Oryctolagus cuniculus: one gene and its partner. The protein of the gene in region 2 interacts with the protein of the main gene of each other region in a pairwise test. Links are inferred from orthologs where the notes say so. Each region holds a gene or a part of one and is shown on either strand. Other genes may lie near its edges. The genes, in order: APOC1 and APOA1.

The links.
Region 1: the proteins of APOA1 (region 2) and APOC1 interact in a two-hybrid assay, tested with the Homo sapiens proteins (2 studies listed by BioGRID, with this or other methods). The link is inferred for Oryctolagus cuniculus from reciprocal best matches to the Homo sapiens genes APOA1 and APOC1.

Annotation. Positions count from the first base shown.
Region 1 is NC_091449.1:11,758,595-11,763,095, forward strand, and holds APOC1 (apolipoprotein C-I precursor), read right to left. Parts: upstream 3,074-4,501; 5' UTR 3,045-3,073; intron 2,913-3,044; 5' UTR 2,893-2,912; coding exon 2,835-2,892; intron 2,355-2,834; coding exon 2,210-2,354; intron 655-2,209; coding exon 594-654; 3' UTR 480-593; downstream 1-479. UniProt on the Homo sapiens protein: Inhibitor of lipoprotein binding to the low density lipoprotein (LDL) receptor, LDL receptor-related protein, and very low density lipoprotein (VLDL) receptor.
Region 2 is NC_091432.1:108,781,983-108,785,633, reverse strand, and holds APOA1 (apolipoprotein A-I), read left to right. Parts: upstream 1-1,248; 5' UTR 1,249-1,380; coding exon 1,381-1,423; intron 1,424-1,572; coding exon 1,573-1,726; intron 1,727-2,198; coding exon 2,199-2,802; 3' UTR 2,803-2,872; downstream 2,873-3,651. UniProt on the Homo sapiens protein: Participates in the reverse transport of cholesterol from tissues to the liver for excretion by promoting cholesterol efflux from tissues and by acting as a cofactor for the lecithin cholesterol acyltransferase (LCAT).

The DNA of each region.
Region 1 (4,501 bases), on a different chromosome or scaffold from region 2:
CAGGGCTACCTCGGGCCCCCTGGAGCTCACAGTGGGACGGACCAGTCCCTGGCCCAGCTCGGGGTTCAAGGAAGGCTTCCTGGAGGAGGGAACGCAGAAGGCTGCAGCCTAAAAGGTGAGAGTGCGTGGGTGTCTCTCAGGGCTCCAGCTCCCATGCTACCTTCTCCTGCATTTCTCCTCACTGTCCATCTAGAGTTTCATGAACACCTACTATGTGTAGTGGTGCACCAGGCCCAGTTCCGCACCTGGAGCAGCGCACAGCAGGCGAGTGCTGCCCGGGGAGCTGGGCCGAGTTCTCCACTCCCCGGCCCCTCTGGGCCTCAGTGCACTTGTGGGATGAACAGGGTCCCGCACACAAGGTTCACCCATCTGCAGCCCAGAGCAGGGGGACTGGGCTCAAGGCAGCAAGGACCCCCTCGGGCGCAGCCCCCACCATCCGCCACGGCCCCCGCCCCCCAGGAACCACCACCGCAGCGACATCTCTGTGGGACTTTTATTGGTGGGGGAGGGGGGGAGGGAGGTGCATGGAGAGGCCCTCGGTGCAGGTGCAGGCACGGGGAGGGGGGGCGGTGACGGCGGCTCTCGGCGGGCGCTCAGGAGAAGGTAGACTTGAATTTCTCCTTCACTTTGCTGATGGTCTCTGAGAACCAGTTCCTGCAGGGGGGGGAGTGCGGAGGGGGCGTCACTCCTCGGGACGTCCAAGCCCTGTCCCCCACCCGACTCCCCGACCTTCCCCTGTGGAGTCCGGAGGCCCCACTGAGCCCCAGCTTGCCGGCCAGCCCAGAGCAGCTCAAAGCCAGAGCTCTTCACCCGGCCCCCAGCCCTTCCTCCACGGCTACCCTTGCCCTGTTTGTCCCCTACTCATTCAAGGCCACTTTGCGGCTCCCTCCTCTGTCCCTGCGGTCCCTGGGTCTGTAGTGCACCCCTCTCTTTATCTACAAATCTTCCCGTCTCAGGACTTTGCACTGCCCGCTGGGCGGCGCCTTCTCCTAGCCAAAGGCCTGAATGCTTCTCCCTCATCTTTCAGGGCTCAGGTTCAAGAGCCACGTCCTCAGAGGAGACTGCACCAAGGGGCCGGCGCTGTGGTGCAGCAGGTAAAGCCACCACCTGGTGCTGGCATCCCATGTGGGCACTGGTTCAAGTCCCGGCTGCATCACTTCTTCTTCTCCTTCTTTTTAAAATATTTATTTACTTATTTGAAAGGCAGAGTTACAGAGAGGCAGAGAGAGAGAGAGAGGTAGGTCTTCTATCCGCTGGTTCACTCCCCAGATGGCCGCAACAGCTGGAGCTGCGCTGATCTGAAGCCAGGAGCCAGGAGCTTCCTCCAGGTCTCCCACGTGGGTGCAGGGGCCCAAGGACTTGGGCCATCTTCTACTGCTTTCCCAGGCCACAGCAGAGAGCTGGATCAGAGGTGGTGCCCACGTGGGATGCTGGCACTGCAGGCGCCAACCTTACCCACTATACCACAGCGCTGGCCCCTGCTCCACTTCTGATCCAGCTCCCTGCTGATGTGCCTGGGAAAGCAGTGGAGGATGGCCGTAGTACTTGAGCCCCTGCACCCAGGTGGGAGACCCGGATGAAGTTCCTGGCTCCTATCAGCCTGGCCCAGTCCTGACCACAGTGGTCATCTGAGGAGTGAACCAGCAGATGGAAGATCTCCTTCTCTCTGTAACTCCTTCAAGTGCATAAATCAATCTTTAAGAAGAGTCAGCCCTCTGAGGGCGGGATTTTTATCTTGTTCATCATTGCGGGGGTGGGGGGGCTGGCGCTTAGCGGATGCTCAATAAACACTGCCAGTGAGGGGACGATTCTCCAACTTCTCCACTGGAGCCGATGCGGGTTAAGTAAAGTGTTGAATATCGCCAGGCGCCAGGCAGGCCTCCCTCACTCCCCTGAGCCACCCATTTCACAGGACGGGATGCTGAGGCTCATGTGACACCCCCGTCTCAAGACCACACAGCCGGGAGAAGGCCTAGGCTGGGGACATCTGAGCGCGGGTCCTCGGCCACCACCTCGCTCCGTCTCTACGCGTGTGTGGGGGTGGGGTCAGGGCAGCTGTCCCTGGAGACCTGGAGCCCGCACATCCGGTTCTGGGACCACAGCGTTGCCGTCAGCCTTTCCGGGCTTGAATTTCTCCCATCTCCAGGGCTTCCTCCCCACCCCCTGCCCTGCCCCCCGCCCACCCCAGCCGCAGCCCCCGGGTCCTAACCGGGTCTTGGTGGTGATTTCGCTCTGCTTGATGTGTTCAATGGCCATCCGGGCCTTTTCTTCCAGGGTGTTCCCAAACTCCTTCAGCTTATCCGGGATGAGCTCCAAGGTGCTGAAGTCTGGGGCCGCCTGGGCTGGGGCAGGGCCTACGCAGATGGGCGAGAGGGTGCGGAGTGCAAAACCCCCAGTTACATCCCTGGGACGGGATTCCAAGGACGGATAAGGACATCCTGGAACGGGACTCTTGGGGGCCGCGGGGTCGGAAGGAGGGGTCCTCGGGCTGCTGGGAGCGGTGGTCTTCGTCTGCCCGAATCCCCAGCCCCCCACCGCCGCCCGGCTCAAGGGGGCGAAGCAGGACAGCCAATCAGATGTGGGAGACCCAATACGTCATCAGTCGCTAGGCTCCTCGGGGCAGATCTGCCGTCCGGGCTCCGGCAACCTGGAGACCCACCTAGCTGGGTGGGGGTGGGGTGGGGGTGGGGGTGGGGGTGGGGTGGGGGCGGGGGCGGTCCGAGGACGACCGGGAAACCCGGAGGGCGCAGGGGCCCCAGAGCGCTCTCGGGACCTGCAGGCCCGGACCCCCGGCAGTTGGCCAAGCCTCACGTTTCCAAATCTCAGCCTTTTACCTTCCAGAGCCATCGACAGAGCCAGCACCAGCACGGGGAGCGACAGAACGAGCCTCATGGCGGGGCCGGAGGGGCGCTCTGGAGGGCGGGGGCGGGGGTGGGAGCCATCAGTGCCCTTCCTTCCTTCCCCGCCGCCCCCCGGAGGTCCGGAGCCCTCGGGAGCGGGTGCGGGGCGGGGCGGAGGTCCCTCCCCGGGAACGCTGCACCAACCTGAACCACGGTCGCGGGGCTGCAGGGGCGGGAGGTCTCGGCCCGCCTGGGTCTTTATCAGGCTGGGGCGGGGGCGGGACGGGGCGGGTCAACCTCCCTCCCCCTAGCACCTGTGCCCACCTGCCCTCTCTGGTGGGGGTGGAGGGGCAGCTGGGGCCCTGGCACTCCTAATTAGGGCCAAAGGTCCGTGCTGTTCGTACCTCGCCAAGCCTCCCTGACTTCAGGGGGCCCCAGGCGGCCATAGCCCCTTTCCCCTGGCCCGGAGCCTTCGTCCCCTCCCTGTGGCTGTCACTGGGCAGGGCTGTCCCCCAGGCCCAGGGAATACCGCTGTGGGTCCCTAGGCCTGCTCCCCTCCGCCCTGGCTTCTCAGCAAACAGCGCTGCCCACGTCTCTGGGGTCTCTCTGTGGAGCCGGCACTGCTGCCCCCAGTGCCACCTGCTGCACCTGCGCGCTCTCTGTCAGCCCAGCCCTGGAGCCACCACACGGTCGCCCCTCTGTGATGCTCTCTGGGGGCTTCCCTTTGCACCCCGCCCCCATCTCCCTGTAGTTTTGGGAGGATTTCCAGCTCCTCTGAGCCGCAAAGCCTCAGCTGCAAACTCCCAGCGCGTGCCCCCCCATCCCTTCCTCCAGCCTCCCCCCCTCGCCCCGAACCCTCCCTCCGCTGGTATTCACCCTCTCAGGCCTGCTGGCACCGAGCCTGTCCCTCCATTCCCCCCCTTCCCTTGCCACATCCGTCCCCCAGGGCCCGACTCCAAAGCCTCCCCCTCCCCGTGGGCTGCCTTTGACCGGCAGTGATCCCTGGCAGCTGGGGGGGGGGGTGGCCTGGCCCCAGAGTCTAGGTTGGCTGGCCCTGTGCCCCCACCACCACGTGTCAGCCTTGGGGGCGGCGTGGCGATGGTGGTTGTGAAAGGGACGGCACAGACAAGGCCCTGGCAGGATTGCACCATCCCTGGGGCCAACTCAGAACTTCCAGTCCCTGTCAGGCTGCCCCCGCCTCCCCCCAGCTGAGCCCTGCACTCCCCAGATGTCCACCCAGATGCCTACCCCTCCCCCTGCTTGTCCAGTCTCCTATTGTGGGGAAACTGAGGCACGACCAATCCGTGTGCTTCTCCTTCCCAGACTCTGGGACCCCTGTTGGGGTCAGCCCTGGGGGTCCCACAGAGATGGGCGGTGCCTCCTCCTTGACGCTGGGGACAGTGAGATCTGGGGGGCGTGGCCTCTGCCCGGGCACACAGTGAGCCCACTGACTTTTCCCCTCCCCACTGAGCACCCCCACGTCTGCAGGATCTCAGGGGCGGGGCGGGGGGCCAGAGGGAGGAGCCGGGCCAGGGAAAGCCCTGGAGTTTCGGGTGTACGGGGGCTGCAGAGGCCAGGCCTGGCCCTGGAGACACCTGCTCAAGCCCTGGCCTGTCCCCTGCTCCCTCCTGAGAACTGAGGGGGTGGCGGGGGAGGAGGGT
Region 2 (3,651 bases):
TGGCTGGTTTCTAGAGAGTTAGGGAGTTTCCTGGAGGGCAGATCTCTGCCCTGGGTCCTAAATCCAGAGATCTGGGTTCCAGGTCCAGCCCTGACTGCATCTCTGAGCGATGACACACGTTGAGCAAATCCCTTCCACTCTTCAGTTCCTCGTCAGGAAGACGGTAGGGTGGGGAGAGGCTGGCTGGTCTCTCGGTTCTTCTCAGCGTGGAAGTTCAAAGTCTCTGTAACTTGGGTGCTGTCCATGACCCGGTGTGCGAGGGCCTGGGCCTTCCACAAGAAACCTTACAAGGCGGCACTGCAGGTGCCAATGTACGCACAGCGTTTCCCACTGGCAGGCTGCCTCTGGGGCCTCCAGTGTCTCTGACTGTGGCGCTCCGTTTTGCAGATAGGAAACTGAGGCCCAGGGTTATGACTTAGCTGGCTCCCGGTCCCCCTCCCCTGAGATGACGCAAAGGGAGATGAGAAACCGCCCTCCTGCCACCTCCTAGTCCAGGGACCCTCCCCTGAGTGTGAGCACAGGGAAACACCAGCAACACAAAGGCACGCGTCTTCAGTGTAAGTGCCTGCAATAATGCGACTCCTCTTTGGATGTTAGAAAGTCTCTTCTGTTTTAAAGTGATGGTCACTTTCCATGGTGAGAGTTCTATTTTTGGGAGAGAAGAAGCTACTGGGTGTGACAAAATTGAAAGTTGGCAGCTCCCCGTTAGAAGTCTCTGATCTCAGTCTGGGAGCCACTCCTCTACAGTGTCCCCCAGTCGCCACCTTTCCCATTGGTTAGCACTTTGGGAGGTCTCTGCGGGGCCTGGACAGCAGCAGTGGGGACCAGAGGAGGAACAGTGGTGGTGGGAGGTGGGGACAGGGCAGTGGGGAAGGGAGCCCCTCCCCTGTGGCACAGGCACAATGGAAGGCACTGACACTCCCCTGAGGGGTGCCAATGCCCCCCACCCTGGGGACTGCAAGCCTGAAACCACTCCCCTCCCGCCCCCATCTGAACCCTTGACCCCTGCCCTGCAGCCCCCACAGCTTCCTGTTTGCCCACTCTATTTGCCCGGCCCTAGGGACGGAGCTGATCCTTGAACTCTAAGTTCCACATGGCCAGGACCAGGGAGCAGTGACTAGGCCCAGCTGGGCTTATCAGCCTCACAGCCCAGCCCCTGCCTGGAGACATAAATAGGCCAGGGGCCAGCTGGCCGCAGGAGACTGCTGGAGAGCTCCAGGAGGCGGGGCAGGTAAGTGCTGCTGCCTACTCCAGGCAGCTGAGGCTCAGGTCCTGCTCCCTGGCAGGCTCTGGGGCCGCCCCCCAGGCCTTCTCCCGGGCTGGAAGGCTCCCCCTCTCAGCCAGGCCCTCTTCTCCTCCAGGTCACTCGGCTCCTGCAGGATGAAGGCTGTGGTGCTGACCTTGGCTGTGCTCTTCCTGACAGGTCGGTGCCCCCACCCGGTGTAGGGAGCCCCAAAACCCCAGGGCTCACCCAAGGAGTAGAATTTCTCACTAGGACCCCCCTCCCACATCCCAACCCCTGGCACTCTGGCTCAGAGCTGGCCTAACCCGGGGCTGCCTTCTCACGCCCAGGGAGCCAGGCTCGGCATTTCTGGCAGCGAGATGAACCCCGGTCCTCATGGGATAAAATAAAGGATTTCGCCACCGTGTATGTGGACACAGTCAAGGACAGCGGCAGAGAATATGTGGCCCAGTTTGAAGCCTCCGCCTTTGGAAAGCAACTCAAGTAAGCATGCAGCCCGGCACTGGGGCAGCGGCTGGGGGCAGAGGCCTGCAGGACCAGCTGAGTCCTCACGGCAGGGCCCCACAGAAGGCCCGGCTGGAGAAATGGGAGCGGGCTCCCCCTATCCTAGCACAGGGCAGACCAGTGCTGCCTGCCCACCAGCAGCCTGCAAGGGGTCCGTGTCCCCTGCTGTCTTCAGGGAGGATAATGGATGGGGTGTGGGGAGGCTTTCGGGACAACCAACACTGGGCACCGGTCCCAGCCGTGCCTCCAGCCTTCTGTACAATGGGACAGGGTGTGGGAGGGAGGTACTGGGTGAGGAAGTGTGTGGAGGGGCCAAGGCGCAAGGCTTCCCTACACATCTGGGGACGGGTGGGGCTTGTGGGCTCACCCAGGTAGGCGGGGTGCGAGGCCCCTGGGGGCAGTCCCAGGTGCCTGGAAGGGTCCCCCCTCAGCGCCTTGTGTCTGCCTCCAGCCTGAAGCTCCTGGACAACTGGGACAGCCTGAGCAGCACCGTCAGCAAGCTGCAGGAACAGCTCGGCCCTGTGACCCAGGAGTTCTGGGATAACCTGGAAAAGGAGACAGAGGGGCTGAGGGAGGAGATGAACAAGGATCTGCAGGAGGTGAGGCAGAAAGTGCAGCCCTTCCTGGACGAATTCCAGAAGAAGTGGCAGGAGGAGGTGGAGCGCTACCGCCAGAAAGTGGAGCCCCTGGGCGTGGAGCTGCGCGAGAGCGCGCGCCAGAAGCTGACCGAGCTGCAGGAGAAGCTGAGCCCGCTGGCCGAGGAGCTGCGCGACAGCGCGCGCACCCACGTGGATACACTGCGCACGAAGCTGGCGCCCTACAGCAACGAGCTGCAGCAGCGCCTGGCCGCGCGCCTCGAGTCCATCAAGGAGGGCGGCGGCGCCAGCCTGGCCGAGTACCAGGCCAAGGCCAGGGAGCACCTGAGCGTGCTCAGTGAGAAGGCCAGGCCTGCGCTGGAGGACCTCCGCCAGGGCCTGCTGCCCGTGCTGGAGAGCTTCAAGGCCAGCGTGCAGAACGTCCTGGACGAGGCCACCAAGAAGCTGAACACCCAGTGAGGTGCCTACTGCCGCCCCCGCTCCCCCTTCCAGCATTCGGCGTCTTAGAATAAAGTATTTTACAACTTGGGAGCAGCTTCTCTCTCTGGGGGGAATGGAAGTGGGGTGGCGCTGGAGGGGCAGCCTGGGCTTTGGCTCCCAGAGCAGGGCAGCTGTGGGACCTGCCCTTGGCTGCTTGGGAGTGAGGGAGGGCCAGGCAGAGCGACAGCCCAAGGCCAAGTGCCCCGCAGGAGGCTCTAACAGCCCTCCCTGAAGAGGCTCCGGGAACAGGGTGGGCTCTGCTGGGAGAATCGGATTCCCTGTCCCCAGAGATGTTGAATGTAAGCTGGGCATGTGGAGACATCCACCTGGGCAGGGGACAGGCACCTTTGCCGGCCCTCTGTCTCTAAGCCAGCTGGGGCGGGCCCTTAAGAAGCCACTGGGACTTGAAGGATTTGGGCAGGAGCAAACAAGCTGCTTGTATTTATAAAAATGCTTGAGGGGCCAGCATTGTGGTGCCGTGGATTAAGCCACTGCCTATGACTCAGGCACCAAATGTGGTCTCCAGATGGAGTCCCAGTTGCTCCACTTCTGATCCAGCTTCTTGCTAACGTGCCTGGGAAAGCAATGGGAAATGGCCCGAGTCCTTGGACCCTTGCACCCAAGTAGGAGACCTGGAAGAAGCTCCTGGTTCTTGGCTTCAGCCTGGCTCAGCTCCCATCATTGCAGCTATTTGGGGAGTAAACAAGCTGATGGAACATCTCTCTCTCTCTCTCTCTCTGTCTCTCTCTCTCTCTCTGTGTGTGTGTGTCCTCTCTGGAACTCTGCCTTTCAAATAAATAAATAAATCTTTAAAGAAAAATGCTTAAG